Linked DNA regions of Drosophila melanogaster. The gene in region 1 interacts genetically with each later gene. Each region holds a gene or a part of one and is shown in the gene's direction. Other genes may lie near its edges.

Region 1 (15,628 bases):
TTGAAGTCAAGGTCGAAGGTCAATTGTCGGGGTGCGCACTTAACCTATTAACGCGATTATCATTGGGTCACACAGCGGTAAAAAAAAGTGTAAAACTTGCGCTGCGCTCAACTAGGGCATGAAAAATTCCATAAAACCTGACGGCTTAATTGGTGTGACTCAAAATGGGCAATTCAAACTGGCGCCTAGAATAAATGTTTTTTAATTAAAAAAAATATTACCATTTAATAGCACCTAATGGAAAAATTTATTTTCTATTTAACCATCATCATTCTATTAAATCCAACCGCAAATTGAGCTACTCCTTGAGAAACTGGTCGATGGGAACTAGTTCGAATGCCTCGTTGAACATTCGCAACATAAGGGGTTGCCAAAACTGTCGAGTCTCAGGCAACATTATTCCGTAAATATCGCGCCAATACTGATTAGCCACATTCAGAGCGATTTTATCTGTAACGAAAAATAATCACAAGCGTTAGAATGTGCATTAAGTACACAGAAAACACTTCATATAAACTGGTTTGCCTTTAGTTTAATGGATTTGACTTAATACCAATTTTCTCTACTGCACCTGTTTATATGTGTCAAGTTAAGTTAAAATGAAGTTATCTAATTTAAATATAATACATCAAACATGGCAACTTGCAAAAAATGTTTGGTATGTAACTTTTACAGTTTAATTATTGCTTCGTAAATCTTTTAATATATATTATAGTTAAATGAACGGTAATTTTATTACTGCGGAATCAATTGATACTTGTATTGACGTAATACAAACAACTAATGCAAAGTGATTACGTATTTAAAGTAATTAAATATTTATGTAAACACGAGGAAGCAATAAGGCAATCGTTTTTAGTGCTATTCAACATGTTCTAAAGTACTTTAAAATTAGAATTTTTTAACAACCAATGTGCAACCACCGTATTTGAGTAAATGCATAATTTAAATAAAAATATTTAACATAATTTTCAAAAAGCAGGCATCGTTCTTCATAGTGCAACAAATTCACTAGTTTGCCTTAAACAACAGCTTTGAACTCACCCAGTTCAGGATCTGCAAATATTCCGTTTGCCTTGATAACCAAGTCCTTGATCTTTGGCTTTGAGTCGATATTCTTGAGGCGGAAAAACCGATGACCATCCTTCTCGTAGACCTCACCATCGGTCACCGTTATGGCCTCCACATCCACTGCAACCGGAATGATAAGTGATCACCGAAAGAGGCAAACTAACTTACTTACAGAGCGTTACGTTGAATTCACCCTTGGGCTTCAGTTGCAGCTGATTCACCTGCATGTCGGCCTTATAGCTGCCCACAATGTTCAACTTGGGCATTTGGGTGACCAGACGGAGTTTCACCTTGTCGCCATTGAGTTTGACGGACACCTCTTTGGCCCGATTGGAGGAGAAGCCATAAATCTTGGCATTGCGAACGGTGATGCGACCATTGACAGTGCCACTAGAGTATTGGAAGCTGGTTCGGTTGAGGTGCAAAGGTTCGTAGGGCTCGATTCTCAACTCTGGATTACCGTCCTTGAGGCGCGGAGTCAATGTGTTAAACAGCTGCTTCACGCACTCACCCAGCTGATCCTCTTCAGTCGAGCATTTTGGCAAATCTTCAATGTGGGAAAATGTTATATAAAGAGAAAACAAAAACGAATATATGATATACCTACCAGCAAAGTAGTTTTTATCCGTGGGAGCTGCACTGCATCCCAAGGCCAGCAGGCTGAGCAATCCAATAGTACAATACATTCTACTACTAAACTATATCCTTTTTGGGACTCGAATTCGACTTTCAACCTACTGCTAGAACGTTAAACTACAACTGAAGCTTCCAGACTGCAAGTCGAGCTATTTTATTCTCCAAATTAGCACACTGCGACACAATGCAAGTTAGAATCTAGCTTAGTATATTTTACTTGTAAATCAGAAACATTAGCCGGCAAACAGCTAGACTTTGACTGAATGCCAAACCGGCTCGGTCTGCCTGATTTATAATGTCGTATTATTAAATGGAAAAATATATTGAAGGTACTACAGCAAATGGCAACAATGATTCGTCATTAATTCTTATATTAATTACAAAGTACGTATATTAATAATGGTCTACCGATTTTGGCTATTCAATGGTGACATTGTAGGGCCGGCAAATTGAGCTTAAAGAAGTCTCGTCATTAAGTGAGTCATATTTAAAGTTAGTTGTACTATGAACTTCACAATATATAGTATAGCTAGAAAGTAAAATTAGATCTATTATATTCTGAGAAGCTTTAAGCTTGTATATGCCATTGAACGCCCTGTGAAAAGTTATACAATTAAGTACAATTCAATCGGGTTGCATAAAACCATTAGTGTCTTAAGTTATTGCTTATAGGATAGTTACTAAGTGACTTCCATTATTCGATCCAATAGTTTTCCATCCATTCGGTTCGATTCCTAACTACCAATAAACCAATAAAAAATTTCAATTTATTACCTTTTATGTGACCATTATAGCCCCACTTTTTCAATCTGCCACTCAAGCCCTATTTAATTGCTCTTGACTTGTAAATTGACTCATGACTGATTGTTTAGTGTAAGTGCAACCTTTCACTCTAGAAAATACACATTCTACATAAACTGGCAAACATAGATAAGAATATTTTCTAAATATTTTATATTTAGGTAATTGTATCTTTATTTCGGTACAAACTATGTTAACACCTTGAGTAGAACAGATGAATCCGGAAGGTATAAATAGTAAAACAATATTAAAGTTAGGTATCTCAATTCTTGGTAACAAGCATATCGAACGGTAGTGCAGCAAAGAAGTCATTGGTGGACTTCAGGATCAGCGGCTGCCAGGTGTCCAATGTCTCGGGAAGCATGGCCTGGTAAAGCTGGCGCCAGTACTGATTGATAAAGTCCAAGATGACATCGTCTGAACGAAAACAAAGCAGTTTAGTAAGTACTATAAGTAAGTACTGATTGGCTATTACGTACTCAGCACCGGATCGGGAACTAGTCCATTGGCGTAGAATTTCAGGTCACCCACCTTGGGCTCAGTCTCCAGTTTGGTCAGGCGCAGATAGGTGTGACCATCACGCTCGTAGAGCTCGCCAATGGGTCTCGCCCTCATCGCGACATCAGCTGCAGAAGAAAAAAAGCGAAGCAAAAACATTGAATAATATAATAATATTAATAGCAAACTGTTATGTGACCTAATAATACTTAACATGCAGTTACATGTGTTCTGCTGCGTTACTTACTCATGGTAATGTTGAAGGCGCCCTTGGGATTCAGCTTGAGATCGTTGAGCTTGATGTCCGCCTTGTACAAGCCCTCGACGAACATTTGTGGCACATGCGAAAGGATCTCCATGCGCACGCGTCCATCCTTCAGCCGGAAGTTGACCTTGTCCACGATGCCCTCGCTGAGGCCGTGGATCACAACGTTCTTCATGGAAATCCGTCCCTGGAGCAGGCCGGAGGTGTAGCTATAGGAGCTCTTTCCCATCTCGAAGGGATCGAGTGGCGGAATGTTCAGCTCGCTGATGCCGTACTTCATGCGTGGCGTTATCTGCTGGAGGCCCTGCTTGATGCACTCGCTGATGTTGATGTCACCCTCCCGGCAGGTCGGAATATCCCCAGCTGCCGAATGCCGAGCCAAGCAAAAAAAAAAAAAACAAAAATTAAATTGGTGAGCATGGGAACCTTGACATATTTAGTACAGCATAAAACACGTTAGCCATATCGCGTACGATCGATGTGCCTATGATCAGAACGTGACAGTTTTCTAGCCGAGAATTTTCAGTTCGACTTTGGCTTAAACGTTTCGTCGCTCACATAATTGTCAACGTCATGCGCAATTAATTTGTTGATTAGATTTGATTTTGTCAGTGAGTTGAGCGAAAATTCATGCATATCATTTAAGAGTTTCGTTCTGCTCGTTGTCTCAAGTTCGTCTCGGCAATTTTCCTATTGGTCTACCTTGGGAGAAGTCTACCTTACCGGCGGAAGTGACATGTCCGGCAAAAAAAGACTTAAGCGGCGAACTTGTCATATATTTTTAACTTCTACCATAAAAAAGCTATATTTATATCTACAACAGCAAGTGACTCGGTCGGCGAATATCGTATAAAAAAACATTTGCAATTGTGGCCTGGACAATGAGGTAATTTAAATGACTGTGTGTTTATTTTTGGCCAAAACTGTTTGAAGACAATACCTTTATATATATATGAACATGACAATCTACATTTTGTGTTTGTCATGGTCTGTCTGCGTATGCCAAAGAACTATATTTAGATAATTATAATTGAATTTGTAACATAGTGTCTTAATAGTGAATTAAAGCTCAAGGACATCACGTTTTACTTTGACATAATTTATATTTACTTAGGTGTATATGTTTTTAAATATTATATTTAATTATAAATAATAATTTTTCAAGTATGTTTTTTAGCAAATTCTTTTCTATATAAACTTCTGTTTATTATTCTGTTGCGATGTGAAGAATACAAATTTCAATCTTATCTATCTCATTTACATGTTGAGTTTTACAAAACGGGCTTCATGAACAATTAAAAATCCCTAAAAAGTTCAGCCAATATATTAAATACTTTATTATCAATAAAATATAAGAGGATTTTCGTTAATGGTATGCAATATATTGCAATGTATCTAATGTTGTGCAATTCTATTGTTTTAAGTTAATCTGGGCTTAAACTTTGACTGTCAGACGGTTGAATTGCTTTGTTATAAAATTCACACAAAGTTGCGTGCTTCACATGATTATTGCTATCACGAAGTCAATTTTGTATGTTCGAATTTTCTATTTAACTGATAATATCACAAATTGAACGACTTGCTATCGTCAGAGTATACTAAAGTGTCGCATTAACAATTTGTACTTTTTAAAATTGTTTGAAACAACGCTTGAAATTATAAATTTTTTATAGAAATTTAGAGATTACCTTTTAATTTTAAATGGCCGTATCAAATTAATATTAAAAACGACAAAGCCAATCTCCGCAATTTTTGCAGTATCCAAAGAAATTGTATTTTTAAAATAAGATTTTAGAATAAATGTATTAATATTCTATTTTGCTTTAACATTTATTTTGTTTAAATGCACTAAGTTTGCACTTCCCAAGAATTGTTTCTGTTGTTCTTATTTCTTAATTTTAATATAGGGTTTGATTTTTCACATATGTATAATGACACTCACGTATTTCTCGAACCGGCTTGAACTCAACTGGTGGCAATTCTATTTCCGCTGCCAAACATAAGCCGGCCATCAGAATTAGAGCAACTACGCCAAAGATACGACCCATTTCGATAGATTGTTTAATATTTAATTTGATACGTTTAGATTGAATGATGTTTTTTTTAATTGACTTCCTCGTTAGGTGAAGTTATTCCACATCCGTTGGATAGCCCAACCTGACCGATGCAAATGCGAATCAACGTCTGAGAGCTGCGATGGGTGGCGGGCTCTTATTTATGGGAAGAAAACAAAACAAATCCAATCAAATCGAAATTGCAAAGACAAACGTAAAATAAAAAAAATAAAAAAAGGCACAAACACAGATGCTCGGCATTAGCAAATAATAGGGATTTGTGGGCGGAGCGGTGGGCGGTGGGTGGTGGGTGGATAACAAAAATAGCTTGAAACTAATCGCCGTCGCAGCTGTAGAAAACAAAGCAAATGCAAAAGTCAATAGACAGTAGACAGTAGACAGTAGCGAAATACAAACGACATTATTAAATTCCCCCGTAAAGTCGTGAAGTGGAAGCCACCCAGCCATCCGATTTGACTTATCGCGACCCCAGTGCGACCCGACATACTCATCACATAACCGCCTACCAACTACCGGCAGCTGTCCCAAGTGATCCGACTCGCTTTGGATGCTTCCTCGACTTGGTGATGGAGATGGTGCTGGAGATCTTGGTCCCAGGCGGCTAATTAAAACGTACCACCTTATTAAATGTCTCGGGGACTTGGGCTTAAGATCACTGTTTCAATTTTTAGAGCTTGAAACTATTCTTCCTGTACTTCCATGCTAATGCTAATGCATTTAACTGAGGCTTTATTTAACTTACTGCAATTTTGTGGCCTAGTAAAATATACATCTGTGTATACCCTCAAAATGAAAAGGCAGAACCTTTTACTGCCTATTTCTGTTTCTACTAGTAAGTAGTAATGAAAGTATAAATCAAACAATTGGTGTCAAGCGTGGCCGTGCTAACAGCTCTAATGCTAATTCTGCTTTTTGCACCTTACGGCAATTTTTAAAGTGCTTGATTAGTGATTATTTAGTCACGTGTGTCTAGTAGGCAACGTACGTCGATTTTGTCAAAGCTTAAAAGGTTGGAAATGAGTCATACGCGTACAACAAATCTTTATACTAATTCGGAAAACCTCAGTTCTTAACAAACAAATAAGTAGGTTATTTTACGCAGGCCAATTTTCGAATACTTTTTTTTTTAGGATCGTTTTAAGATGCGCTGAGTTTACAACGATTTATCAAGTGACCTGGCACAAAAGAGATAAACGCACGTTATCAGCAGACGCAGACTGTCTACAGGAATGTGCCCTTTTGCAACCCCAAATAGACGTCATCTTATCGTCATCTTCGGCATTAAACTGCAAACCCAGAAATGGCACTCCGAGTTCCAAGAAGTGATATCTAAAAAAAGGGAAACAAACGGAAAACAAAAGATCAGTGCCACACACACCTTATCAACAGCAGGATACAAAGGGAGTTGGACAAATGAGGCCGCAAAACACTTTTCGAATAGAGGCCAATTGAACAAGAGTAGCCCAAAATCCATATATGTATATATATATATGACTTTTACAAAAGGCGGCGACATTGAAAAACACAGCAGATAATAGATTTGAAAGAGGAACAAACACGAATTGAATGAACCCAGACAATCGATGGGCGCGCATTTCGCCACCTACTGATCCGGAAAAACTCGGATTGTATTGTATCTGAAATTCAAAAGATCCCAGCTGAACGCACGCAAGAATAAACATGACCAGTAGATAGGGATGCCCAACGGGTGGGCTTACAAGTAGGTAAGTGGGATGGGTTGGGTTTTGGGTTTGGGTTTGGGTATGGGATTGGGTGGCATGTACGCGTGCGCAGGCAAATCGAGCGGGTTTATGATCTTGTTTTCGTTTTGCAAAAAGAAAATTCGTCGTCGATTTGTGTAAACAAAGTTATAAAAGTTGTGGGGGGATTACGAAGAGCGGCAGATAAGGCTTTCGCCATATAAGCTAGTGTACCAATCCACAGGACAGCATTCAATCGAGAGTCTTCGAGTAGAACACACATAGCATAACCATAGCATATCATACCATACAATGGAGCACCATCAGATCTATCGCCACAAAAAGTTCGACATGGGTCGAAAGATTGAGAAATGCGATTTGCAGCTGAAGGAAGAGCTAATCTCCCGGAGCGGCACACCCTGCACCAGTCGGAGTCCTTTCGATGCGGCAAATCAGTCCGTCAGCTTGGGTTTCAGTGATCAGGATGCTGACTTTCCTCCACTGCCAAAGCGTCGTCGTTTGGGATCCTCATCCTCAAGCGTTTCCTACCAATCCGCCAGCCCCATCATAACCGAGGCCATCCAAGACATCTTCAAGTACCACGTCAATATGGTGCGAAAATTCCCGAAGAAGGAGCGTTCACCGAAGGATCAGGAGCGCCGCAACAAGAACACAATTGCCTGCAGGATGAGTCGACGGAAGAAGAAGTTCGATGACCTGCAGATCGAACAGCAGTACAAGGAGTGCTCCGATGAGCACCTCAAGATCGCCGAACAGAGTCTGCGTGCCAGGGTCTATTTGAATCATCTGAAGCAGCTGGTCAAGCAGGAAGACCACCCGCTAGTATCCTCAAGGAGAGTTCCGGAGGAGAATACCAAGAGTAACTTTAGCATCGACTACCTGATAGGTGGTATTAAACAGGAGCATGCTTAGATACGTCCATCTCCTTTTAGGATTGTATTATATAGTTATTATATTAATGCTAAGTTGTTAAGTTTCTTCAAGAACTTTTAGTGCTAAGAAATTTAGTATATATTTAGTATAAATGCCTTAAAAGGTTAAGCAGGAACTTCTTAATAAATAAAATATGAGGATTTAATTTTTACGGCTAATTGATTTTTTATCGTGTGCTTGACTTTTAATCTTCCTTCTAAAAATGGTATAAATATTAATTTATGACATTGGCAGAAAAAGTAATCAAGCGCTAATGAAGCAATGAATATATTAAAAATATATATAAATAAATTTAATAAAATATAATAAAGCGTGGAGCCATCGAAATAAATCCCAATTAATCCCCAGGGGTAGTTCGCGTGGTGTCACAGGCAATCATCAGCCCCTGGAGCAAATCGTTATTGGTGACCCCATCGACTATTGCCTCCCCCCATGGAGAATATCAAGCCAGTCGGATAAAGTTCACTGGGTATTAACCCTGCACCCTGGTCAAACCACTGGCAATAGAGCCGTAAACCGATTGAAACCGCAGCTACGGGAATGTGGGCTTAAATAATAACTACTCCTATTCCCGTCCATCGCTCAGCTGTCATTGTCGCACTTAAAGTTAAACTAAACACTTTAGCTATTAGTAGCTACGATATTTTCAAATACATTGTAATCGAATTGGTCACGCTAAAGGCTTTCATTTGCATAACCCCTAATCCCTGTGGAAAATTTCAACGTATTAATAGGAATGGCAAGTGCTATAGTGTTTCCATTATTTTAATCCGATTAGGTTCCATAAGATGAATATATATGCTATACATGCTATTAAAACTAATTCAGAATTCAATTTCCTTGCTAACCGTTTCTTGTTTTTTTCTTTGACAAAAACGAAGCAGCCATACAACATAATAACTATAAACTTTAATAACATTATTAACGAAACAATAAATTTAGTATACTCTGTCAGGGTTTCTAATCACAGATTAGATCAATGTGCGTCACTGCCGCCGGTGGATGCAGTGGTTTCCATGTCAGATGTATCATTGGGTGGAACTCCACTGCTACTCGGTCCGTGGTCCGTCATGTCATCATCGCTCATTCCCTCCTCGGATAGAGGATCGTGGTCCGCCTCCAGAGGTGGATCCATAGCCTTGACCAATTTCACATACTTCTGGTTCTCGGCTTCCGTAAACATTTTAAACGGCACATCCTTGCCCACAATGGCCACATTTATGGTGAGATTCTCGACATCATCGGAACCCAACGATCCTCGAATGGCCTGAATGGCATGACATATCAGTTCATCCATGTCGCAGTCCTCGAAACTCTCCATATTTCGCTCCAGATATGTGCGAGCACTCTGCGAACGAGATCCAATGGCCATTGCCTTGCAGTTGAGCACATTGGCCGTGGGCATCACCTGGTAGATATGTGGTCCCTGCTCATCGTATCCAGCCACCAGCAAGCCCACACCGTAGGGACGACGATCATAGCGCTGGGTGGTGGTCTGCAGCTTGTTACCCAGATTGGAAACCAAACGGCGAACCGGAAATTCTGCGTTATAGGAGTGCCGATATGCCATGCACTCCGTCCTCATGTACTGGCACACCACGCGGGCATCTGCCGTTAGTCCTGCGATAGACATACCCACGTGGTCATCCACCGGCATGATCTTCCGCTGGAGCGTGTTCGTGTCCTTTGAGGTGCGGCACAGGGCGGCCAGCACGGCATAGTCGGTGCCCTTGAGTCCCACGGTGGCTGCTCCCTGTTTCACCGCCTCCATTGCGTACTCCACCTGGAAGAGACGACCCTGCGGACTCCAAGTGGTTGTGTCGTTGTCATACTGATTCCGGAACATGGCCAAAAGTGTGAATGAATTCAGCGAAATAACGTTAGCTTGTTAGTTGCAAATTTGTCTAGCTTGAGTTGAAAGTAATTGAAAACTGATATTAATTTCAAGGGTTTGCTTATTCATAGAATTTCTTAAAATATTTACTCGTGTAATTGTTAATTAATCAATTTGTAATGGCCAATTCTAACTAATTTCATAGAATGAGGTCACAAAGAAAGGGTTTCGATGCATACCAAGAGAAAAGCCAATTGCAATCCTAACTTTGCTTTCACTCCAGCTAACTTGCATAATGCCTAACCATGTAGAAAATCAACGGTCTATGAGGAAGTTCGGGTGATCCGATGGAAAAAACATAGGCTGATGTTCGTCACTGAGTGCACCCGCCTCATATGCAGCCAACTGCATCGGGCTGTGAGTGAAAAATAGGAGCTATGATTTAGTCGAAGTATTCATGCTGCCGGGGAAGCCCCCTGCACATAACATAATTAACTCTTTTGGCGATTGCGCAATCGCTGTGCGCGAGCAGTTAATTACTTTTAATTTTCATTGATAGTACTTGTGGCAGTCCGACTTCCTATGGCGCAAATTTCCGTCGCAACTCCAACAACCCAGTAAACCACTTTGCACTTGTACCATGCAGCCAAACATCAATTTCAGTTAATTGTTGAGTTTTTTTTTTTGTGGCTGCATTTGGTTTTTTTGTTTTTGGCTTTTTTCTTCTTTTTTTCCAACTGGCCTAACATTGAAAATTGCATTTCTGCGCTTCGAGCTGTGTGTGCTTGCAAAACTCCGTCTCACTGGCCAATTGAACTTGAAGCTTTGCTTGGACTTTGTCTATATCTCCATATCGCCACATCCGATCTCTGTCAATATCATTAGCCAACAATCCACCGCGTTGAAGGCGATGCCAAAAAGCTTGGCCCAGTCCAAAATGTGGTTCTTTGTGGCGGGTTTGAACCTTGACGAAAGCCGCCACGAAATGAGAACGCCATGAAAATTAGCTAGACAACAATTAGTTGAACTTTGCTGGGTAATGGCACTCTGGGTAAATGGTTTCTCGGAAAAATCTGTCAATGCTTCGATGACTCACTTACTCCAGTGGTCAGACAAGTCACTGGAGTAAGTGGTTTTTGAGCCCTTGATTGAGCCCTTTTTTACCAAAAGTCATATCAAATAATAGATAATCTACTTTTGATAGCAGTACTTTTAGTTTTATTGAGCTAAAAATTATACCATAAATTTTATATATTATGATCACGATTAGGTTGTAATTAAATTAGAAATGATAATTGATCTCTTAATCATTTTATATAATTTTACTATTTTTCAAGCCGGTGGGTTAACTTAAAGATGTTTAAAATCCTAATATATATAGCATTATTATACATATGTAAAAAAATGTAATGGTTGCGATCCACTGACCTCCTAACAAATTTAACAATCATTTTAGATTAAATTTCGAATTTTCCAAGTGATAACCCCCAGTTAACAAAACCGGCAATTTAAATTAAATGCATAACTTTTGATTTATTTCAAAGTCAACAATAAATATTAATAATTAAGGCTTAATAAACTAAATCACATGATTGGGCTATCCATAGTCGCTGATTATGATATGATTTTGGACGGTCAGCAGTGCTGGCCACCAAAGATGAGCATCTGCTGGGAGAGGGCCATCTGCTGGAGGAACTGTTGTTGCTGCTGCGGCAGGATGTGACCCGGTGCCGGATTTATGGCACGCTGGAACACCGCCTGTTGGAGGATGTGGCGGTAGTATAGACTGAGGCGCACCTGCTGTTCCAGCATGGCGGCATGATGACTCCGATACTGCTCGTACTGCTGACCCACTTGCTCCTCCTGTGCCTGCTTGGCCCGCCGGCTGAGTAGGCAAGCCAGCGTGTTTCTATCGCGGCGCATCTGCTCCTTGGGGCTTCGCTGACGATTGGTGTTACTGCGGCGCACCATGTTGGCACGGTACTGGCTGACCGAGGATCCTGGGCCACTGGGTTTCGCCGCCGTTGACGTCTCCTTCTCCGCCTGTTGGTTCTGCTCATTATCCAACCAAGGTCGGAAGAATCCCTGTGTCTGACGGCGCTTGAAGATCGGCTGTTCCGACTGCTGAGTTTGGTTCTCCTTGTCATGGTCCACTTCCCGTTTCCGCTTGCTGACGGCAAACTTCTTGTGGGTGTAGCTCGATGAGTTCTCCATTTTTGTATTTCGATAATATGACTCCGAATGAGTTGTGGTGATGATGTGACTCGTTGGACGATCGCTTGCTGAATGATTGGCTTCGAGATTGATATCCTGGTTATAAGCACAGTAGGTAGGCGGTACAGGTAGCCACATAGGGAAATCCCTTTGTTTTGGGTCTGTCAACAAAGGGATTAGCGCATCCATTCCGCATTAGGTAATCTCCGTCCTGGATTAAGCAGCATATTTTATGACCTGCTCTATCACAGCGCTAATTGTCGTCGCAGGATTGCCTCATTATCCTTTTTTTGGTGTGTGGATTACCTGGATTATCGGACAAATGTGGCCACCGGAACAGGAAAGTTCTGGACCGAACAACTGTTATGCAGGCGATGCATTTTTTTATTGACCTGCATGACACAATTTGTTGTGGCACCGTGTGTGGTCCCTTTGGCTCCTGGTTCCTCAGCACACTTTGTTTTAATTCCCTGGAAATTCTCGAGGGTCCTTTGCCGAACACTTTTCCTCTAGAATGACATGGCATTATATGTCCTGGTCGGTGGTTAGAAAAAAGTGTCAAGGATTTTTAAAGACTGCTGACAGATGCGATTTCAGTTTACGGAGAAGGAATTGCATTCATGGAAGTCTTGAGAGGTGAATTAAATATATTTAATCCATTTATTAGTTTAGGTAGTAAAACACGCCTTTAAAAATATTTAAAGAGTTAAATAAACTTCGTACAAACATGTATACGGCATATATCATATATATAAATGAATTAGTAAAACACTATTCGTGTAAATAATTTAGTATATTAAGATTTATTTATCTGCGCAATTTTTAATCGCGGACAACAATATGATGATTTCATTGATGATTATTTAAATATAAAGGCGGATCTTATTGTCACCGTGTTTTAATTATTTTGCAAGCACTTTGTTCGTTCGCTATGCTGATTTGTTTATAAATTAAATAATTAAATCCAACTGAAATAAATTACAATTTTATTCCGTGTTTCCCACAATATGTCACTCGTGCCGAATCGATTCAATTCTCACTGTAGTCTGGCTATGTGAATCACTAGAATTACTTCACACCTTAATTAGCATTGCAAATTGCGCTTCCAAGAAATTAATTACATAAGATGTATTTAATGTTATATAATGGCAGAAAAACCAAGTGAGGTAACTCTTATGAGCTGATGCTTCCGGTCAGTTTTGGTCTAGAACAAATCCTCATGATGTTAAACGGCGGAAAAGAAATATCAGACTTCCAAATAAGATTCAATAAATAAGACCCCGAGTTAGATTTCAATCAATCAGAAACCAACTAAAAACCAATTATTACAAAATTCTATAAAAATTACAAGTTATTTCGATAACAATTAGTGTGTTTATTGTTTAGTCAACCAGATAAATAAATTAAACTTTAAAAGTAATCACAATCACTATTCAGCTTTTCTACAATAAGTTAGGGCGCATTGAGCAGCGCCCAGTCGTTGCACCATGTCCACCCTTCAAGGATGCTGGGTGGTGGTCTGTTGGCGCGGCATCATGTGCCTTGGCTGTGTGGGAGGCAGTGGCTCCGTGGAGGCCATCGCCTGCTGCAGGAAGCGCACATAGTAGAGACTCAGGCGGATCTGCTGCTGCAGATTGGCCTCGTGCTGAATGCGACTGGTCAGGTATTGTTGTTCGATGAGCTGCTGCTGTTGCTGCTGGGAGCGTCGATGGCGCAGGCTGGCCAAGGTGTTGCGATCCCGACGCAGTTGCTCCTGTGGACTGCGCTGGCGGCGCTTGTGGTGATTGCGCACCATGTTAGCGTGGTAGGTGCCATCCACTTGTTGTGGCGGCGGTGTCGATGTAGCCACAATCTTACGTGGCGGCTGTGGTTGCTCCTCTTCCGGAGACTCATCCATCCAGGGTCGGAAGAAGCGACGCTTAGGCTGCGGCTGCTCTGGAGTGCGTTGGCCCGGCTGTTCCATAATGAAGACCACATCGTCATCAGAGTCCGCATCCATGCTGCGCTTTCGCTTCAGAGCTCCAGTGAATTTCTTGTGGTTATAGTTATCCATTCTTGATTAAGAGTAGTGGTGTTCGCTTTGCTGTCTTCGAGACGACTGTGCTGCCCCTCCTCCTGGCCATCCGTTTTATGCAACATTAGGTAACTTGCAGAGCCTCCCACGAAAACGGAATGGCCAAATGGCAAAGATTTTCCCATCACGTACCTGGGGATCACGGTAAAACGGATCAGGTATTTCCCCAACGCATTTCATTCATTCCCTAAAAATGGGACCAAAACTAATCGGCTGCTGTTACCTGAATTGGGAATAGGGAGTTCCTAATCCGCAGGCTGGCAATCTTCTCAAAGGGTGTCATAAACCAGTTGTTGTCCTTGCCTCGTCTGTTTACGTGGCCGACGATTTTCGACGAAATTACCTGTTGTCGGGCCCGAAAAAGGGATCTCTGTGTAGAGGATCCCTGTGTAATCTCTAATCCTGGCGCTCAATTCGTCCAGGCTGTCTGCCGGCCGACCCGCTATTGTTTCGGCTTTCTTTGTGGCACCTGAATAGCAGACATGCTGCAGTTTTCAATGCCCGATCTCGATTCGAACAACAAGCGTTTATGACTTTCAGCTTGGACAGCTGAAGAAAAACCGTCTCGGAGTTTCTGAATCTCCCGGTACATGTACATACTAGCAAACCTAGAAAACCGGCAATTACTGAATGCTCCTCCCTCTGCTCCCTGGTTTCGTGTCTTTGGCATTATGTCGGATTTTTCCGTTTCATTCAATGGTCCATTGTCCATTGATTTATGCCGTCAGGGAACGAATGTATATGTGGTAGATGGTTCTCACATTTCAGTGTTCCTCCGCCTAAGCGGATTTATTTCAGGTGGGCTTGAGACGAGCCCTCCTCGAGGAATCCCAAAGTCAATAAGCAGGAGCGGAGTGGGAGTTGGTTATTTGTTCAGTTGAAGTATTACAGTGAAAGATTGTCGTATTGTTTGATTGTTTTCCTTTTATTATATTGATCAATTTTCATCTGTTCTGGAACGCAGAGAATCGATTGCATTGGGTCCTCCAGGGTAGGTGTTGTTCATTCCTTCAAGGGGAATGACCTTAAAAAGAGCAATAATATCCTACCAGGAAGTGCTTTCACCAATGATACAATTAAAGGTTGTCTTATATAATGTTGTATTAACAGGATGGTGGATGGGAAAATAGATTCCCATATATTTTTCTAAGGAGTAGATCTTTTCAGCGATGGGAAATTTTAGCCTTGAAAAGTTTGCTTTTTTCTGAGAAACAAGAAGGAATTATGTAGATGAAAATAAATAGGTAAAAATGTCTATTTAAAATATTATGATCCAGAATCGAGAATATATAACTTTGTATGATAGCAACGATTGTATCAACTTGCGTCCAGGATAACCTTGTATAAATATACCAAGGATTATTCACTTTGAATGGTTTAGAATATTAAATTAAGTCCAAAGATTACTTTTAAGAATTCACTTAAAAAGGGAATAGAAAAGTTAAGGATATATGTATATATTTTTAAATTCGTATAGTTGTAAAATAGTAAAAGCAGTAGTAAACG
Region 2 (18,420 bases), on another chromosome or scaffold:
GATACATTTAAGGCTTGCATTTCTGGCGACATGCCAAATACACAGTTGCCAAAAAGCCTGTACTTGACAATGTAGTCGATATTCACTCAACTCAAACTAACTTTTTCATAAATGATTTGGAGTTCTTCTAATCCAAGTCAATGGCTGATCAAATTTTTTCAAATTAGCAAACATTTTATGATATTTTTCAAGCACTCCCCACTATAAACACAGTCTTAAAACACCAAAATCTTATTTCACTTCAGCAAACAATTTGGTGGCTTTGTCAAATCTTCAACGAGATACTCACCCAATCGAATTTCACGTGCCGCTGCCCGCGTTTTATTGCGATGACAGCTCCTTGAGTCACAGAGCCGAGCATCATCATCACCAGCCATCATCAACTCGTAAAACCAACACCACGGCCTTTGTTTACAACCGCGTTCGTCGTTGAGGATGTGGAAACAGTTGGAAAATGGGCGCTGGAGCCGCGGAATCTGGGCCACTGCATCCTGGCCAAAAGATCCCAGCCGAATGACCGTCCGTCTGTGGAGGCGGTTCGTTTTGGAATCCAGAGATTGTCGGCGGATTCTGATTCCAGGTTCCAGTAACAGCATCCAATAAAAGTGCAAGTCGGAAGCAGTGATGACATTCTTTTAGTTTTATTTGCTGAATATGTGTAGGTTCGTAAGTTTAAAAAGTTCGACAACATTTTTAATAAATGGTTTCTTTCTAACAAGGTTTTCTAATTATTTATTATTATATTATTATAATTATAATAATAATTATTATATATATTATAATAATATTATAATTATATTAGAATATATATATATGTATATATATATATATATATATATTATAATATATTTTATTTCGCTTATAACATTATATTTTATCAATATCTTTATAGTATTTTAAGGTCAGAGGATGCCGAAAAGCTTCTAGGATGTCATCACTGGTCCTAAGGTAACCATTTGACGGAACTGCGCAGGCGTTAACTCTGGCTTCACATCCGCCTCCATCAGGCTGGAATTCTCTGGTGGAGGTGGAACTGAAGTGGGCTCTCTTTGAAGCCTTTGTCGGGCTCCTTAGCCAGGCCTTACTGTTGCCATTTTCTGCGGCAGGGTGGCGGCAAGGAAAAACCCGATTTCCACCCCTAAACTGGCCAGAGTCTCACGTCTGGCGTTCCAATCGACTTTTGCCGACTCTCTCTCAGGGGAGGTTTTGGTCCGAAAATCAATAAAAGTCACGTCGACGTCCATGTTGCTCTGCTCCTGCCGCAGAGGCCTCAACCTCCGGCCCCGGCAGACAATGAAATGATGTCCTGGCCAAAGGACGACGGAATGGGAGGTCGGATGCGGGGCTGGGAGTTTCAGACGAGGACGCACGTGTTGTCCCTGGACTTCAGGCTCGAATGCGTGCGAGTAGCAGCAACAATACCAATTACAATAAAGACAGACATTTAGCCAGGATTCATTTCGAGGGGTGTCCGCAGGAAGGGAAGCCAGCAGGACATGTGAAAAAAGGAGCCAGGAGCGAGGATGAAAAATTTGCCAAATGTATTCCAGCAACGGGTTTCTAATGGAAACAATTAAGTCATTAGCAAGTGTTGATTTTAGTGAGCGATGAGCCGGGTTGGGGATTTAGTTAAACTAATGTGCTCCGGCCATAATGGAGTCCTTTGGGCACTCTGGACTGGATCCCCGCACAAGCTCCCGAATAGTTCATGTACCAGTGGCAGACCCAGCTCGTTGGACCGCCTTACAAATGCCTCGCATTTTTCTCAATTACAATGAACAACTTACATTCGGGTTCACTTTTCGCCACACAACCCACTCCGCATTTTGACCATGTGAGTGTTTACGTCAAGAGGTGAACAACTGACTGCCATTTTTTAACCATGATTGAAGAGTTAAACGCTGTGGCACTTTGAGCGGGCTCGGTTAACTTTTTGGCAAATGACTTCGGCAGCGTTAACCGTTGGAATACCAGCTCAGAATGGAGGTTACATGCTGTTTTTGGTGTCAAGGTGGGACCTTGCGGACTCAGATGGCAGCTTTAAGGAAGAAGATCTTGAAAGATCTGTTATTTAGGGTTTGGAAAGTGGCATCCAAAAAAGTTAATGGATTTTTAAAAGATTTGGATGTTCTAGCCATCATTCTAACGAAACTGTGGCTTTTAAAGTGTAAAGTTTGAATTGTTTATTGTTATAAATTAATAAGATCCATGGAGCATTGGGTGTTGTTTAGAAGTGATTAATTTTTCATTTATATCTGCACTTACCATATATTTTTAGATTCCCTCTCGATAAAACAATGAAATACTTTTGACAATGCCTTGTCTCCTGGCTTAGTTTTATTGAATGACAAACCCTTTAATTCGTTGCTTCAAGAGGTGTTTATTCTCTCATGGTATTTAACTTACACCGTATACAAGCCAACCCAACCACATAGGAAAAGACCGATTAAACTTTATCAGAGAACGTTATTTACTTAAGCATATTAATGTGTGTTTGCACAAGCCGACGGATGCAGAGCAAAATTCATAAGGCACAAGCGGTGGCTCGATCTCAAGTGTGTCCGAAAATAATGAAGTCTGAATGGGAGCTAATTGAATGAATCATTAATAATATAAACACAGACCGCATCCGGACTGGCGAATTGCCGAAAAAGCGAGACGAGAGGAGAAAGTGAGGGTTCCAGTCTTGTTGCGTGGGAATGGAAATCAGACGTTGAGGGCTTATTACGACAAGGAGGGCACTGGGATGACGGTCTGGAAGAGATGCAGTCGCGCATCGGCGTGTCCCAGCTTATTGGTGGCATTGCAGTAGTAGTCCCCAAAGTCCTCCTCGCCCACGCTATCGATGCGCAGCACAGAGGTTGTGGTTCCCGAGGAGGAGGCGGTGTTGGCCACCTCGTGGTGCCGGCTAGACTGCAGGGGCACGCCATTCTTGTGCCAAACTACAGTCGGAGCCGGGTAGCCCTGCACGGAGCACTCCAGCTCCGCGGAATGGGACACCATTTGGGCGATCTTGGGCCTCTGGACGGCAATCTGCGGACGGAACTCCACTTCGACCCGGATCAACCTCTTGTCCGGCTGGCCCTCTCCGTTCTGCGCGATGCAGTAGTAGCCGCCGCGATCCATCCGGTGCACGGAACGAATCCGGAGAGTTGGTTCGGCCAGCAAATGGCCACCGGCAGGCATCACTGCATTATGCTCGCGGGCCCAGGAGATCGTAGGCTTGGGAAAGCCATTGGCATGGCAGGTCAGCTCCAGATTCTGTCCCTCTGTCACCAGGGTGCTCTTGGGGGTGTTCTCCGCAATCACCGGCGGGGTCTTGATCTGCAGGCTCAGCTTCTTGGTCACCTTCTCCGTGGCCGAAACAAGCACCTGACACTCGTACGGACCCATGTCACTGACTTCGATGTTCTGAATGCGGAAGGTGTAAATGGCACTTCCGGTCTTGGGTCCTTCGGTGACCGTTACGTTGTACCGCTGGTCGGGCAGACTGAGGATATTCCGCATGGAGAGCACCACCGAGTTGGTGTCCGACTCGCTGGGACGCTTGGCCCAGCTCACCGAGAGCTGTCCCACCTCCTCCACGGTGCAGTTGAACTCCACAGAGTCGCCCACACTGGCCACCACGTCCTTGCTGATCTGGCTGATCACTGGGGCACTAAGCACCGAATCCAAGCTGATCGCAAGGCAGAATATAAGACCGATTAGAAGCCGCAGACGCGCCATGTCTGGTCTGTAAGAAATCAAAATAGATTTGAGATTTATTAGTGTATCACTTTATGTTGAGTCTTTTGATCGCGTTAGCCATTCTAAATATTTCGTATGTAATGGAGAACTGCCATTTTTAACCCATCTTCGAATTCAATATAATAAACTAAAACTAGGTTCAATTATAGAATAATAATTTAAAGGTCACAAGTATATCTTTAAAAGTATCTTTCAAAAGTAAATAAGAAGGAAAGAATTCTGCACACACACTCGTTTTGAAACATTTATAAGGCTTGTACACACTTTTCAGCTTTATCGTCTTATTTTAATATAATTCATACATTTCTGTTTATTTACAGGATGTTGCTGTTGATTTTGTGACTCTTTTTCCTCGACTATCTCTCAGTTCAATGTGGGTTCAATGCGCTTCACTTCGCGTTCGGGACTCGACTGAATTGAAAGAGGCGACCGAGCTCGGCTCAAAAATCCGTATCTCTGCTGAGGTTCTGAGAATCGGGTTCTTATTTTTGTATTCTTCCTGACGCGCCGACGTCGATGGCTCGGTTTCTCAAGGAAAGTCCCGAAATTTGTACACCGCGAGAATGAAGCAGATAGACACCATTATGATTGATTACCGCGGCTGTGTCTAGACAACGTTGCTTCTTAATGGATACACTGGTAAAAACGGAGATAACTTAGTTTTCCGATATATCAATACTTATTTTTTTTTTTAATGAATAGCCAGGTAAACGAAATCAATTTGATTTAAAATTAATTTTTTTGTAGTTAAGGATGTGAAAAAAGATTTTAAATGGCAGTGTTTAGTAAATAGTTTAAAATTTAGTAAAAAAAATAGTTTACCTTTTATTATATTGCATATTTTTTAATAATTAGTAACAGCTTTTTTCAGTGTATTTGCCGATGAAGAAGTCATCGACGTTTTGGATCTTATCACCCCTCGGTTATGTACATTGTCGCCTTCACAGTATTTGTATCTGTGTTTGTTCAGTATCTCTATCTGTATTTTGTATCTGTGTTTGCATTTTAGTTCGTATTTAAATTGTTTACTTGTGCGTGAGTTTGACTTCGGGCTCAGTTATCAATGCACTTTCCTTCTGGTCTTTAATTGATTTGTTTTGCTGCTCGCTGCTGTTGTTTATGCCTCTGCCTGTGGCCCTCCTGCCCCGCCCACTTGACAGCCCCCGCCCCAAGATAAGCGGTCAGTTGCAAAAACAAAGCGCCAGCGAAAGCGGCCGCAGGCGAACTGAGAGACCGCGTGCGAAATTCAAATTCAAATTCGTGCCGCCATTTGGCCATAAACGTTTCGGGGTTCGTGGAAGGACAATAAAAGGAGCAGCGGCGGGGTGGGAAAGTTGGAACTCTACCCATTTGTGTGATTTATGGCATGGCGCACTACTTTCCGCTGGCGGCTAACAACAACAGCAACGATTACGAGCGGTCCCTGGAATATCCTAGCCGCTCTGGAAATGCCAGCGATCCCAGCGCCGTCTCATTAGTGCTGTCTCTTTTGCGCCGGAGCAGGGGCGCATGCGCGAAAAGGCAAAAACAACGGGGTGGTGTACAAGGCATTGGGTGGAACTTGAATCGAGTCCTGGTTCAGCCATGCTGGGAAATTCTGAAGGATATTTAAAGAGCAGTATTCGGGAAATTTGGGTACCTTTAACTTGGCTGTTCGTAGAAATTTCTTTACACGGCTGAAGGTTAATATGTGTACTCACAGCATACGAGGATAGGAAACGTCGAAATATAACATAGTCTATATTGATTATATTTGTGTATATATATTGATGTGTTTAATATGTGTCTGGATCTCGATCAATTAGTTCCTATGGCAGATGATTTAAGGATTAAATGTGGTCAAAGGCCGTTTGATGTGCAAAATTTCACTTGTTGTATAAGCACCGAACCATTCGAAAACTTTCTGCTGCCCAAACGCATTTAATTTTCATATTTCCAGCCTGATTCCTGATCAGCCCCGGGCCAAGTTTCCCCCTAAAACCCATCGAGGTTAACCCGGCTTTACTCTGCGAGATGATTGATGACGACGCTGTCTGTCTGGCGAAGAAATTCCCCCGAAGAGCGACGAAACTATGGCCACAGTTTCTGGAAAATTAAATCACATCTTAAATCGTTTCGGTGACTTCTGCTGAAATGAGGCCGTTCCCATGGGAGGACAACTGCATCTGTCGTCCGAACTTGGACCCCCGCACTCTCACTCGTACTGCCCATCTGCCGGAATCCTCGTCGCTGAGTGCACATTCGAATCAGATAATTGTAAATTGTGTAAAATAATAAATTTCCAGTTAACTATCAACGGACCGCATAGGGCGCTTCTATTCCGTCCCTTTCTCGCTGCCCACTGACGGCTCTCCTTGTCCTCAGCTGCATCCCGGCAGCGTCATTATGACCATTGCGGCGATGCCTCTTGGATGCAGGTTCAGGTCCTGGTCCAGGTCCTGGCAGGTCCGGCTGCTTCATGCAACGCTCGACTTGGCCCGACCGAACTGGACACACACCGAAACCGAACGAAAGAGACGGCTAGACGGCGTGCGACAGAGAGGGCTGCCGCTCGCATTCAGGCGCAAGCGGATCCAAAACAGAAAATGTCAAATTTTGTAATTTATTACCCGAATCCTGTTTCTGTCAGTGACTCTTTGGGTGTTTCGCTTCAGCAGCGGCACACACGGGGGCATTCAGCATTCAGGGTCGCCGAGCGGGGAAGGGAGAAGTCCTTTGTCACACACTGCGTCTGAATTTGTGGCCCAGTTCCGCACAGTGGTATCTAGCAGATACTTTTTGTAATATTTGTAAGAATGCACAGAACTTCGTTACATTCAGAGATTTCTAGTTTCTAGTCAGATGACTAAATACAATATTATGTGTCAAAGTAATTAATTTTGTTTTTGAATAAATTTCTAAAATATCAGCTTGCCTTTAACGTAAATATAGCCTTTTCTACCTATCTTTATCTGATATAAAAAAGTAGCATTTGAAATGCTGTTGTTGCAATGGTATCGAATTGGTATTAAAGCTCTGGCCCTGTTTAATTTGTATTTGTAGTCAGAGCAACCACTGTACCTTTGTGTGTATCCTTGGGCTTTGCCTATGCGAACGTATTTTGTTTGCCTTTTGGCTGCACTCCGACTCCGTCGACTGGAGTGTCTGTGAATTGACTTTTGTTGCCAGTTGGCAGCGGCAGAAGCAGCAAAGCCCGGCCAACAGCAACAAGCTCCTGCCAGATCCCAAAAGCAAACACGACAATTATTTGGCAAATGTCATTAAAAAATATTTCACTTAAGGCCTTGCGACACTTGCTTAAAGGTCAACTGGCTCGTTGGGTGTGTTTTAAAATGTTAAAGCTTGGGCCAATGCACTGAGCAACTTAATGCTTGTAGATATTTACACAATATTCTTCAACGCTAAACATATCGAATTTTCCAAATATGGAGCCTGAAAATAATAATTGCCAATCCTAGCTTAACATCAGAAATGAGTAGAACAACTTAAAAAAAATTAACAAAAGAATCGAACGCTACAGCTAATTAACTCGACAACTGGTTACCTTTTATTCTTCTAATACATTTTATAATGCACTGCCTAACAGGTACATATAGCAAGCACTATATGCTGTCTTACAAAACGATTATATGATATTTTCTTTCGTACGTAGCCGTTTGAGATCATTTGGAAAAACAAACTCGATCTCCACCATCCTTATTCTTTGTCCCAAGTCCTTATATATCTCGCGATACTAAGATTGAATAATGTAGTTATTAATAGCGGAAGTATGTAACAGAATAAACTACAAAGTGCACATTTTGTTCAATTCAGGCTGGACTGGACTGGAGCATATTAATATTATAATATTAACAAAAATTCAAATTAAACATTCGACACTTGTCTAATTGATTCCTAAATTTGGGGTGCCTGTTTGTTAATTAAATGTTAATATTATGAAGTTCCAAACAGAGCAAAGAGTTTAAGTTTAATTGGTTCTACTTATTTGTTACAATATTCAAGCTTTTTTTTATTATTATTCTCAAATGCAAATCTCTACAAATAAATAAACCTCCGACGTTTTAGAACATTCACCTTTTGTCAGTGAGCACAACCTTTCAATACAGCCCGACAGGGGGCTCTCTACTGCTGTCTCTTCACGCCCCCTGGTGAAAACGCTGTGCACTCAATCGGTTTGCAGCTTTGCCGTACTGTTCGATTAAAAACTTTTAAATTAGAGGCAAACATTTAAAAATAAAATGTCCAAATATTTGTCTAAAATGTATTGTAGACGCTTATTGATTTTTAAATTACTCAAAAGAATGAACATCGAGGGAGGGCCGCCAATTGTGCCATCTCTACATCTCTTCGCTCATCCCTAAATAACGGCACTCTGCAGATGCGAAGCAGTGGATCGCAAAAACGCAAAATGTGGGCGAAATAAGTTCGCGAGCGTCTCGAAAGTAACCGGTTACTGAAAATACAAGAAAGTTTCCACACTCCTTTGCCATTTTTCCGCGCGGCGCTTGGAAATTCGTAAAGATAACGCGGCGGAGTGTTTGGGGAAAATGGCGCAACCGCCGCCAGATCAAAACTTTTACCATCATCCGCTGCCCCACACGCACACACATCCGCATCCGCACTCCCATCCGCATCCGCACTCGCATCCGCACCCACATCACCAACATCCGCAGCTTCAGTTGCCGCCACAATTCCGAAATCCCTTCGATTTGGTGAGTTCCCATCGCAGCAGAGAAGGGCTCTTGTCCCAGGAAAGCTACAGTACAGATTCCCTATGGTGAACAAACAACCAGTGCGATCACTGATGACCATAAACATTTATTGAGCCGCAGCAAATGTGTTTCTAGAACATAGGGCGAAATCTTCTATTATCTTGTTTGTGACTTTTAAAGTATCGTAGCAGAATCTAAAAACCAATTGATATTATTAATCGTTACAGTTAGTATAGTATATAATTGTATATGAATTGTGGGGCATCATGTTATTAGTGATTTGCCGAAATGTTCTAAAAGGTGTTTCATTGAAATGGACGAATGTTAAACCTGTTGCACTCACACCGACAATCAGTAATGTCTATTTTTCAAAAGCCACATCTATGGCCACTGGGTATACATTATTGACTTTATACACTTCATACAACATATTTTCTAAAACAAGCATTGTTGTCCTGCATGATGATTAGTGAAAGTAATATTGCAAGATTCGGTCCCCGAAGCGAATCGTCCTTTCACGTTTTTATATAAAGACAGTGTACCCCTTGATTCTTTGAAGCTTTTCGATGAGCGAACGGGAGCGATAAACTACAACTACATACGTCCGTATCTGCCCAACCAGATGCCCAAGCCAGGTGAGCTCAAAGCCAACAAAGTCAGCCATCGTCTTATCAGATGTCTTTCCCTCAGAGGAGCTGCCCGACTCTCTGGTGATGCGGCGACCACGTCGCACCCGCACCACTTTTACCAGCTCTCAAATAGCAGAGCTGGAGCAGCACTTTCTGCAGGGACGATACCTCACAGCCCCCCGACTTGCGGATCTGTCAGCGAAACTAGCCCTGGGCACAGCCCAGGTGAAGATATGGTTTAAGAACCGTCGGCGTCGTCACAAGATCCAATCGGATCAGCACAAGGACCAGTCCTACGAGGGGATGCCTCTCTCGCCGGGTATGAAACAGAGCGATGGCGATCCCCCCAGCTTGCAGACTCTTAGCTTGGGTGGAGGAGCCACGCCCAACGCTTTGACTCCGTCACCCACGCCCTCAACGCCCACTGCACACATGACGGAGCACTACAGCGAGTCATTCAACGCCTACTACAACTACAATGGAGGCCACAATCACGCCCAGGCCAATCGTCACATGCACATGCAGTATCCTTCCGGAGGGGGGCCAGGACCTGGGTCGACCAATGTCAATGGCGGCCAGTTCTTCCAGCAGCAGCAGGTCCATAATCACCAGCAGCAACTGCACCACCAGGGCAACCACGTGCCGCACCAGATGCAGCAGCAGCAACAGCAGGCTCAGCAGCAGCAATACCATCACTTTGACTTCCAGCAAAAGCAAGCCAGCGCCTGTCGCGTCCTGGTCAAGGACGAACCGGAGGCCGACTACAACTTCAACAGCTCGTACTACATGCGATCGGGAATGTCTGGCGCCACTGCATCGGCATCCGCTGTGGCCCGAGGCGCTGCCTCGCCGGGCTCCGAGGTCTACGAGCCATTAACACCCAAGAATGACGAAAGTCCGAGTCTGTGTGGCATCGGCATCGGCGGACCTTGCGCCATCGCCGTTGGCGAGACGGAGGCGGCCGACGACATGGACGACGGAACGAGCAAGAAGACGACGCTACAGGTCAGGCATGAGTCCACAACCTTTTTTGATCTCTTGATTCTGAGTGTGGCGTTTATAAATTGAAGCTTTAAGCTTTGTAACTTTCAAACTGTCTGGTTTGAGATGTTATTCTGAAAGTACTTCTATTTCCGATCGATGAGATTTGGGAGTTCTCCAATATTTAACATTTAACTTATTAAGTTTTTGTTTTCTAAATTAGACATGGCATTTCTGAAAGGGAAGTACAAGTGTTAAAGATGTATTTTAATATAGAATTTGTATCAAAGGTTAAGATTTCAACCGTTTGAAAGCCCTTAGTTTTCAGGGTTTTTTACTTTTTTATTCATGTAATCACTCTTAATACACTGCAAGTTAAAATAGCATTTCTTTGACCAGAAAAATAAGATCTATGCATTTTAAAAGTGAAAACAGACTCATATGCTGATGAACATTTTTAGCTATAAATTGTAACAATAATTTAGCAATTTCAATCGAATTTATTTATGTTCTAAATGCGTTCGCTCTCTCCCTAGATCTTGGAGCCTTTGAAGGGTCTGGACAAGAGCTGCGACGATGGCAGTAGCGACGACATGAGCACCGGAATAAGAGCCTTAGCAGGAACCGGAAATCGTGGAGCGGCATTTGCCAAATTTGGCAAGCCTTCGCCCCCACAAGGCCCTCAGCCGCCCCTCGGAATGGGGGGCGTGGCCATGGGCGAATCGAACCAATATCAATGCACGATGGATACGATAATGCAAGCGTATAATCCCCATCGGAACGCCGCGGGCAACTCGCAGTTTGCCTACTGCTTCAATTAGCCTGGATGAGAGGCGTGTTAGAGAGTTTCATTAGCTTTAGGTTAACCACTGTTGTTCCTGATTGTACAAATACCAAGTGATTGTAGATATCTACGCGTAGAAAGTTAGGTCTAGTCCTAAGATCCGTGTAAATGGTTCCCAGGGAAGTTTTATGTACTAGCCTAGTCAGCAGGCCGCACGGATTCCAGTGCATATCTTAGTGATACTCCAGTTAACTCTATACTTTCCCTGCAATACGCTATTCGCCTTAGATGTATCTGGGTGGCTGCTCCACTAAAGCCCGGGAATATGCAACCAGTTACATTTGAGGCCATTTGGGCTTAAGCGTATTCCATGGAAAGTTATCGTCCCACATTTCGGAAATTATATTCCGAGCCAGCAAGAAAATCTTCTCTGTTACAATTTGACATAGCTAAAAACTGTACTAATCAAAATGAAAAATGTTTCTCTTGGGCGTAATCTCATACAATGATTACCCTTAAAGATCGAACATTTAAACAATAATATTTGATATGATATTTTCAATTTCTATGCTATGCCAAAGTGTCTGACATAATCAAACATTTGCGCATTCTTTGACCAAGAATAGTCAGCAAATTGTATTTTCAATCAATGCAGACCATTTGTTTCAGATTCGGAGATTTTTTGCTGCCAAACGGAATAACTATCATAGCTCACATTCTATTTACATCACTAAGAAGAGCATTGCAATCTGTTAGGCCTCAAGTTTAATTTTAAAATGCTGCACCTTTGATGTTGTCTCTTTAAGCTTTGTATTTTTAATTACGAAAATATATAAGAACTACTCTACTCGGGTAAATTGTGACTAACTACACATAACTACATACTTAGCCCATATTTCCGTCCCTTTCTAGAATGAACGAAAACAGTATCTGGTTTTCCCGAAAATCTTATGAATTTAAAAATGCACTTTATTGCACATACTCACACATGCCTGCCATAAAATATGATTCGCGATTTTTCCGCGAACACCCGCGGATCATAAAACATTTGCACCAGCTGCCTGTGTTTATTCACCTACCTGAAACCCATACTCTTATCGCCTGATCCTCGCGCGGTCGCACTATTTAGGTAGACACTGTACAGGCAGCACTCGCGGGGCGCCGCCAGGCAACTTGTTGCCCCTATTTTCTTTGATATAAGTTTTGGGAAATCCAGAAGTCCAATAACGGGGCCTATATGAACGAATATTGATTGGGTTTCTCCCAGTTATAGAGTTTTTATTGATCTTGGGCGCGTTTTAGTAGGTGGATTATGGATGTCCTGGGAAAACCAAGCTCTGAATCCATTCTTACTTATCACAAGACTTGTTTTCCTGTGCCCTTCATCACACCTAGTTTAACTACTATAATTAATAAACTACTTTTTAATCCGCCATTTATGAAGATAATTTATAGCATCTATGCATCTTTCAAATATCGCGAGATATCGCAAAGTATTCATAAATTAGTTTTTTATTGATATTGTAAAGCTTTTTAATTTGGTTCAGGTTTTTATTGTAAATACTTTTCACAATTGTGCACAGTGACCCATTAACATGGTTGCGATATTAACTTAAGACTTAAACAAGTTAATTAAGAGTTTTAGCACTTCTTTTCAAAAGATCATGTTTTAATTATGTTTTTAAATGAATCTTTTCGACAATTCTAAAAATATTATTTCGAAAATGTTAATTTTCATATATAACCTAAGTAAAGATATTTTCAACTGTACCTCACTCTCGCCGCGACATTTCCACACGGTTATCCTGTTATGACTTTTCCTTTGTTCCAACGTATTTTTAGCGAATTCTCGGAAGGAGAAAATCCGATAGCGCCAGTAATAAAATTTGCGAACAATTCCCTAGTTCGAGGACTGAGGATGGGAAGGCCTATGGACCGGAGACCCGAGACAGATTCGCATTCGCCGCGTCGGAGACTTGAGCATATACTCCTTGGAAACAAGCAGAGCCATAAACTGTCCAAATCGAGCATGAAACCCCGAGGAGCATCCTTTCTCACAGCGCTGCTTTCATTGCATTATGAGGATAATTGCGGACGGCGAGCGACCAAAAGCCGCGACAACAGCTTCGGTTTCACTTTCAGCGCCGCCACCGGAGGCTCTTTCAACAGGTGCTACAAGTTGGACAACAATCGCCTCGGATCTCCGATCATCATCAGCCCGTCTACCTGGCGAGACTCCGGCTCTTGCGGCCCAGGAACCCTGGAACTGTCTCTCACGCAACGCCAGATCCTGGCAGGATTTCGATCAAAACAAGCCTCTAGATTGCCCATTGCCAATGGCCGGGAGTCGTCGGACTTGGCTAGTCTCCGAGGTGCCAGTCGGGCAGTCCAGCGACGAAGGGATTTACGACTCGCGGCTTAGGCAAATTTTTTCGCAACGATGCGTCGGCGGAATTGACCTGTTATGTCGTCTACCTACAAGCCCTCCTATATAAGCATGATGTTTGCTTAGGACGACAGATCATTCCACTTTTGACAGCTCACTCGGCAGTACCAGAAAAAATATGTCATCCGTCATGCACTACTATCCAGTTCACCAGGCTAAAGTCGGCTCCTATTCAGCAGATCCTTCCGAGGTTAAATACAGTGATGTGAGTACTCAGATCAAAAATCGAATATCAGCAATAAACTAATTAGTTGTTTACCCGCTTTCAGTTGATCTATGGTCATCATCACGATGTTAACCCCATCGGTCTGCCTCCCAACTACAATCAGATGAACTCCAACCCCACCACCCTCAACGATCACTGCTCCCCGCAGCATGTGCATCAGCAGCATGTGTCATCGGACGAGAATCTGCCATCTCAGCCCAACCACGACTCGCAGAGGGTGAAGCTTAAGCGATCACGGACTGCCTTCACCAGTGTCCAACTGGTGGAACTTGAGAACGAGTTCAAGAGCAACATGTACTTGTACAGGACGCGCAGGATTGAGATTGCTCAGCGCTTGTCCCTGTGCGAACGCCAGGTGAAGATCTGGTTCCAGAACCGACGAATGAAGTTCAAGAAGGACATACAAGGTCACCGCGAGCCCAAGTCCAACGCCAAGTTGGCTCAACCCCAGGCTGAGCAGAGTGCCCACCGAGGCATAGTGAAGCGCCTCATGTCCTACTCCCAGGATCCCAGGGAGGGCACAGCGGCAGCAGAAAAGCGTCCTATGATGGCAGTGGCTCCTGTGAATCCAAAGCCAGACTATCAAGCCAGCCAGAAAATGAAGACCGAAGCATCAACCAACAACGGCATGTGCTCCAGCGCCGACCTCAGCGAGATCTTGGAGCATCTGGCTCAAACTACAGCTGCACCACAGGTCAGCACTGCCACATCTAGCACAGGAACATCTACCAACTCGGCTTCTAGCTCCTCTTCGGGCCACTATTCCTACAACGTGGATTTGGTTCTGCAGAGCATCAAGCAGGATTTGGAGGCAGCGGCCCAGGCTTGGTCCAAGTCTAAATCCGCGCCTATCCTGGCCACTCAATCCTGGCATCCCAGTTCCCAAAGTCAGGTCCCCACGAGCGTGCATGCGGCTCCCTCGATGAATCTGTCGTGGGGCGAGCCTGCTGCCAAGTCGAGAAAGCTGAGCGTTAATCACATGAACCCGTGCGTAACCTCCTACAATTATCCCAACTAATTTTGAGTTAAAAAAGTTATACTAAGTTTTACTATAAATTTTTGTTGGAGCTAAGCAACCGTCTCTGGCCCTTGGACGAAAAATTCTAACCGAACTCAGTGACAAAAGCCATGAATATTCTTAAATTATCGTGAAGTTTAACCATTTTTTTAATAGATATATTAAAATATGCCTCTGTATTGCAACCATAGTTAATAAACTAAAATTCAAATAATACAAAATGATATTTTCTTCACTTTAAAATAATTATTCGATCGATTTCTTAAATGACTCCTTGTTGCTTGCTGTACAACTTTTATAAAACTTTGCTTTAGTTACAATCCATTTAGTATCCTTAAGACCACTCCAATCCAAAGTGGACACTTGGCTTCTGAAAAGGAGAAACCAAGGAAAGAAAGGAGAGGAGAGGAGAGGGGTTAATTTTTAGCATTTAGCTAGTGTCCCAGTTGTCTTCGGTTTCACTTTTGCATTTAATGTCCCATTGCGGGCGACTTGAGGTCAAGTCGAGGAATTTCCATTGCATCGCCCATCTATTAGGGCCCAGAAAAGTGTCAACCGCATTAACTCGGACAGGTCCAGCCCCTTCCCCTTCTCCATTCCCATTCCCAATCCGGATTCGGATCCGGATCCAGGTTCAGTTTCAGTTACAGCGGGTTCCGTTGGTCATCTTGAGCGGCGGACATGGAGTGTTAGGATTTGATTTATGGACATTTAACCGCACACATTACTTGCTACTGGCTGCGGCGGCTGTCCAGCGTCTTGCAGCGCGGAAATGCGGCACTCAGCCTCAGCTCCAAGGAATTTCCACCAGCCCATCCATCCCTTTGGTCCTTGGTGCGGGCCCTTAGGTGTGGTGTGGTATGGTGTGGAGTGCTGTGTGTGTGTGGCAAATTGCTTCCCCTGGGAGGAAATTGTCGCTCGCACTTGCCACGGCCAAAGGACTCACAGGACGTGCACTTCGAAAAATAATAGTGCAGTGAGAGCTATTTACAAATATTGACATAATAACGAACATTTATAATTGTCCAAAATGTATATTTTGCTATACAATTGAACTAGAACTAAACTTGTATTATTAAGTATCATTTCAATTCATTAGTTGGGTCACTTTTTAGGAATTACACATTTTCTTATGAGAAGTTTAAATTACTTTTATTTCGGAGCTGACGCGGAACACATTTGATGACATGATTGGGTCCATCCTAGAATAATAAATAAATTTTTAAAGTGTACCCATGTGGAAGTCAGTGGCCAAAGGGGAGGACCTTGCACAGGGTGTGAATCCTTGGAATTTTCATGCGCGTCGTTGACATTTCCTGACATGTGGTCCGGTTCGCCTCGGTTCTGGCCTGGTTCTGGTTTTGGTTTGGTTTTGACTCGACCTGCCCTCGCCGGGAGCATGTCCTACACATGTTTGGGTGCTGCCATAATGAATATAGATACCGCATTGGAGGAGCGTGGGCGTGGCTAATCGCCCGGCAATCAGAGGCAGCTAATCAAACTCGCATAAAAAGCGAACAGCAGGAACAAGTAAACAACTCCACGCGGCCAGCTTCAATTACGCGAAATGCCAATGTAATAAACATGTCCGACAGCACAGCGCAGATTGTTCCCATTGCTCGAGTGGCCAATTCCTGAGCTCAATCACTCGCTCAGCAGCGGCAACATTGCGGTTTTATTAGCCGGAATAGCGAATTGGCAGCCGGAGCCCTTGGCCCGGAGGCGGGAATCCGGAGCCTTGATGACAACGACATGGCCGCAGTCGCGGCCTGGTCATAACAATAAATTCAGCGGCCGCAACGGAGGCTGGGCGAAAAGCATTTCAAATTGTTTCTTGTTAATTAAATTAAATATTCACTTCACACTCCCCGATGCCCAACCGCAGCGTTTTGTAATTAGATTGAATCTATAATTTTTATGGCTAATCGCCTCTCGAAAGCGCTTGGCTCTCAAGCAAGCTCATCCCACTCTTCAGCAATGAGTTTTGGATTCGCGACCAGGACGCGAAACCCAAGTGCTTGGACTCCTTGCGACAGCCGAGCGAAATGTATTTTGTGTGCAAATGAAATGTCCTCGCTGAGGAATTTCTGCGGTGAAAGTTAATTAAGCGGGTAAAATAAGTTTAATGCATCGTTTTGAGGTCTAAATCGAAAAGTTTTAACTTACATTTTTTGAGTTAGTCTCAAAAATTTTTTAAATTTATTTGCCTATGAACATTTTTGCTTTCGAAATTCATTTAAACCCAGTACAGCATCATTTGTAAATAATAAAAACCCACCAAAAGGCTACCCATTCGCATTTGACTCATCCTTTTCGGCAATCCTCAGCCCAACGGTTTTAGCTCCAATTTGGATATTTTTGGCACGTTTAAACGTTATGACATTTCACAGACGTGTTAGTCCCTCAACGCCAACGGTATGGCCAACACCTGTCGTATAAACAAATCGTGCTGGGCCAGAAAAACCTTGTGTCCATTCCACACATGTTGGTGTGTACTGTTGGCCCAAAAAATGTGCACATACTCGTATAGTTAACAGCAGGCACGGGAAGCGCTTCTTATTCTGTATTCCACGACAGATTGTGAAAGCGTGAAAAAAATCACTTCAAAATTTGAATGCCATTTGCCAAGGAACGGGCCGATGGTAGTGAGTGGAGTATCCTGTGCCCCAAACTGAGATTGTTGGGCTTACAATAGGGTTTTCGTTGTGCCCAAACGAGGTGTGAGCCGTGATGTTGCGAGCATCTGTTGCTTAACTTATTTCATCTCTACAGCGGTGTCTATAATTCTGTATGAATGGGTGTCTCACTGGTAGGTCAGTCTAACTATTTATACTTTATCAGTTTAAACGTAATGTATATCTAAAAACAAGTATCCATTCCATATTAAATCCACCCCAAAACAATTAAGTTTCTGCCACAAGGTAATGTTTGCAATGGTTTTTATCAGTAAATAAATTGATTTAGGTGCATAAATGATCAAATAAAATTTTAAATTTCTTTGGATACGATAAAATAAACTCTATTGCATAGGGTGATAGATTGGTTTCTGGGCAATCAAACGGACTCGGTGGCTCTTTATTTTCCCATAATTTGTAACTGAGGCAGATACTCAATCCCCATCTCGGCGAGCTGTGCCCATTTCACGGATAATTCGGGCATTTCCTCAACCCTCTCCCTCCCAACAGCTGATACGCATACGCAGCATATGCAAGTGACCGCCCATCTGTAGGGTTGGCCGTATTTATGGCCCGTTGGCTGGTGTATTTTTCATCGGTCTAAAACCCATAATTAAATTACGTGGAATTCATTTATAACAATTACGTCGAAATGGCAATCTATGCTGATGATGCCGCCAGGCGGCGAGTTTCTGCCGCAAGGAGCGTACCAACTTTTGCTAACCAACAACGAAATTCGTGCGCAATAAAAAATGCGGTGCGTCATGTGAGCAATTTGGTGTCGTTGTCGTTTGTCCATTTGCTGGTTTGGTGGCAGGAGCGAAATGGTGCCACAACCAGTTCAGGCTCCTTCTGCCGCACTGCAATTATTTATCCCCATGCACACTGCCCCGCCCCTTCCCTGCTAACGTGGCCAAGAGAGCCCGGCGCCTAAGCATGTCCATGTCCGGTTGCCGCGTGTGTGCCAGTGTGTGTGTGTGTGTGAACCGGCTCCTAAATGCCTGGCCCACACGACGCAGACACATATCCGCCACCCAGCTCTCGGTCGCCAGGATCCTTTTCACCACACCGCCACCCCACACCCCATGCACCAATGCAGGTAATGTGCCAGCGACATGCACTTCCAGGTGAACCGTGGGTGCGGAAGCAGGGGGCTACACATGCACTGCGCGAAAATTATTTATAATGGCAATTTTTTATTA

What was found.
Region 2: of Mabi (region 1) and bcd, changing one suppresses a phenotype caused by changing the other (phenotypic suppression), as found in Drosophila melanogaster (one study listed by BioGRID).

The regions. Positions count from the first base shown.
Region 1 is NT_033779.5:13,226,326-13,241,953, reverse strand, and holds Mabi (mabiki), read left to right. Parts: upstream 1-7,293; 5' UTR 7,294-7,358; coding exon 7,359-7,979; 3' UTR 7,980-8,156; downstream 8,157-15,628. Other genes in the region: Jhbp13 (juvenile hormone binding protein 13), read right to left, coding at 299-450, 1,045-1,191, 1,244-1,618, 1,679-1,757; Jhbp14 (juvenile hormone binding protein 14), read right to left, coding at 2,771-2,925, 2,988-3,134, 3,254-3,634, 5,214-5,319; Prosalpha6T (proteasome alpha6 subunit, Testis-specific), read right to left, coding at 8,977-9,846; CG16815 (uncharacterized protein), read right to left, coding at 11,470-12,048; CG16813 (uncharacterized protein), read right to left, coding at 13,547-14,101. UniProt on the Drosophila melanogaster protein: Plays a role in inducing apoptosis and is involved in the repair of head patterning defects in the embryo caused by extra maternal copies of the homeotic gene bicoid.
Region 2 is NT_033777.3:6,749,146-6,767,565, reverse strand, and holds bcd (bicoid), read left to right. Parts: upstream 1-8,099; 5' UTR 8,100-8,294; coding exon 8,295-8,459; intron 8,460-8,996; exon of another isoform or gene 8,997-9,018; coding exon 9,019-9,094; intron 9,095-9,134; coding exon 9,135-10,093; intron 10,094-10,605; coding exon 10,606-10,890; 3' UTR 10,891-11,724; downstream 11,725-18,420. Other genes in the region: Ama (amalgam), read right to left, coding at 2,725-3,733, 4,570-4,586; zen (zerknullt), read left to right, coding at 13,418-13,504, 13,569-14,543. UniProt on the Drosophila melanogaster protein: Segment polarity transcription factor that provides positional cues for the development of head and thoracic segments.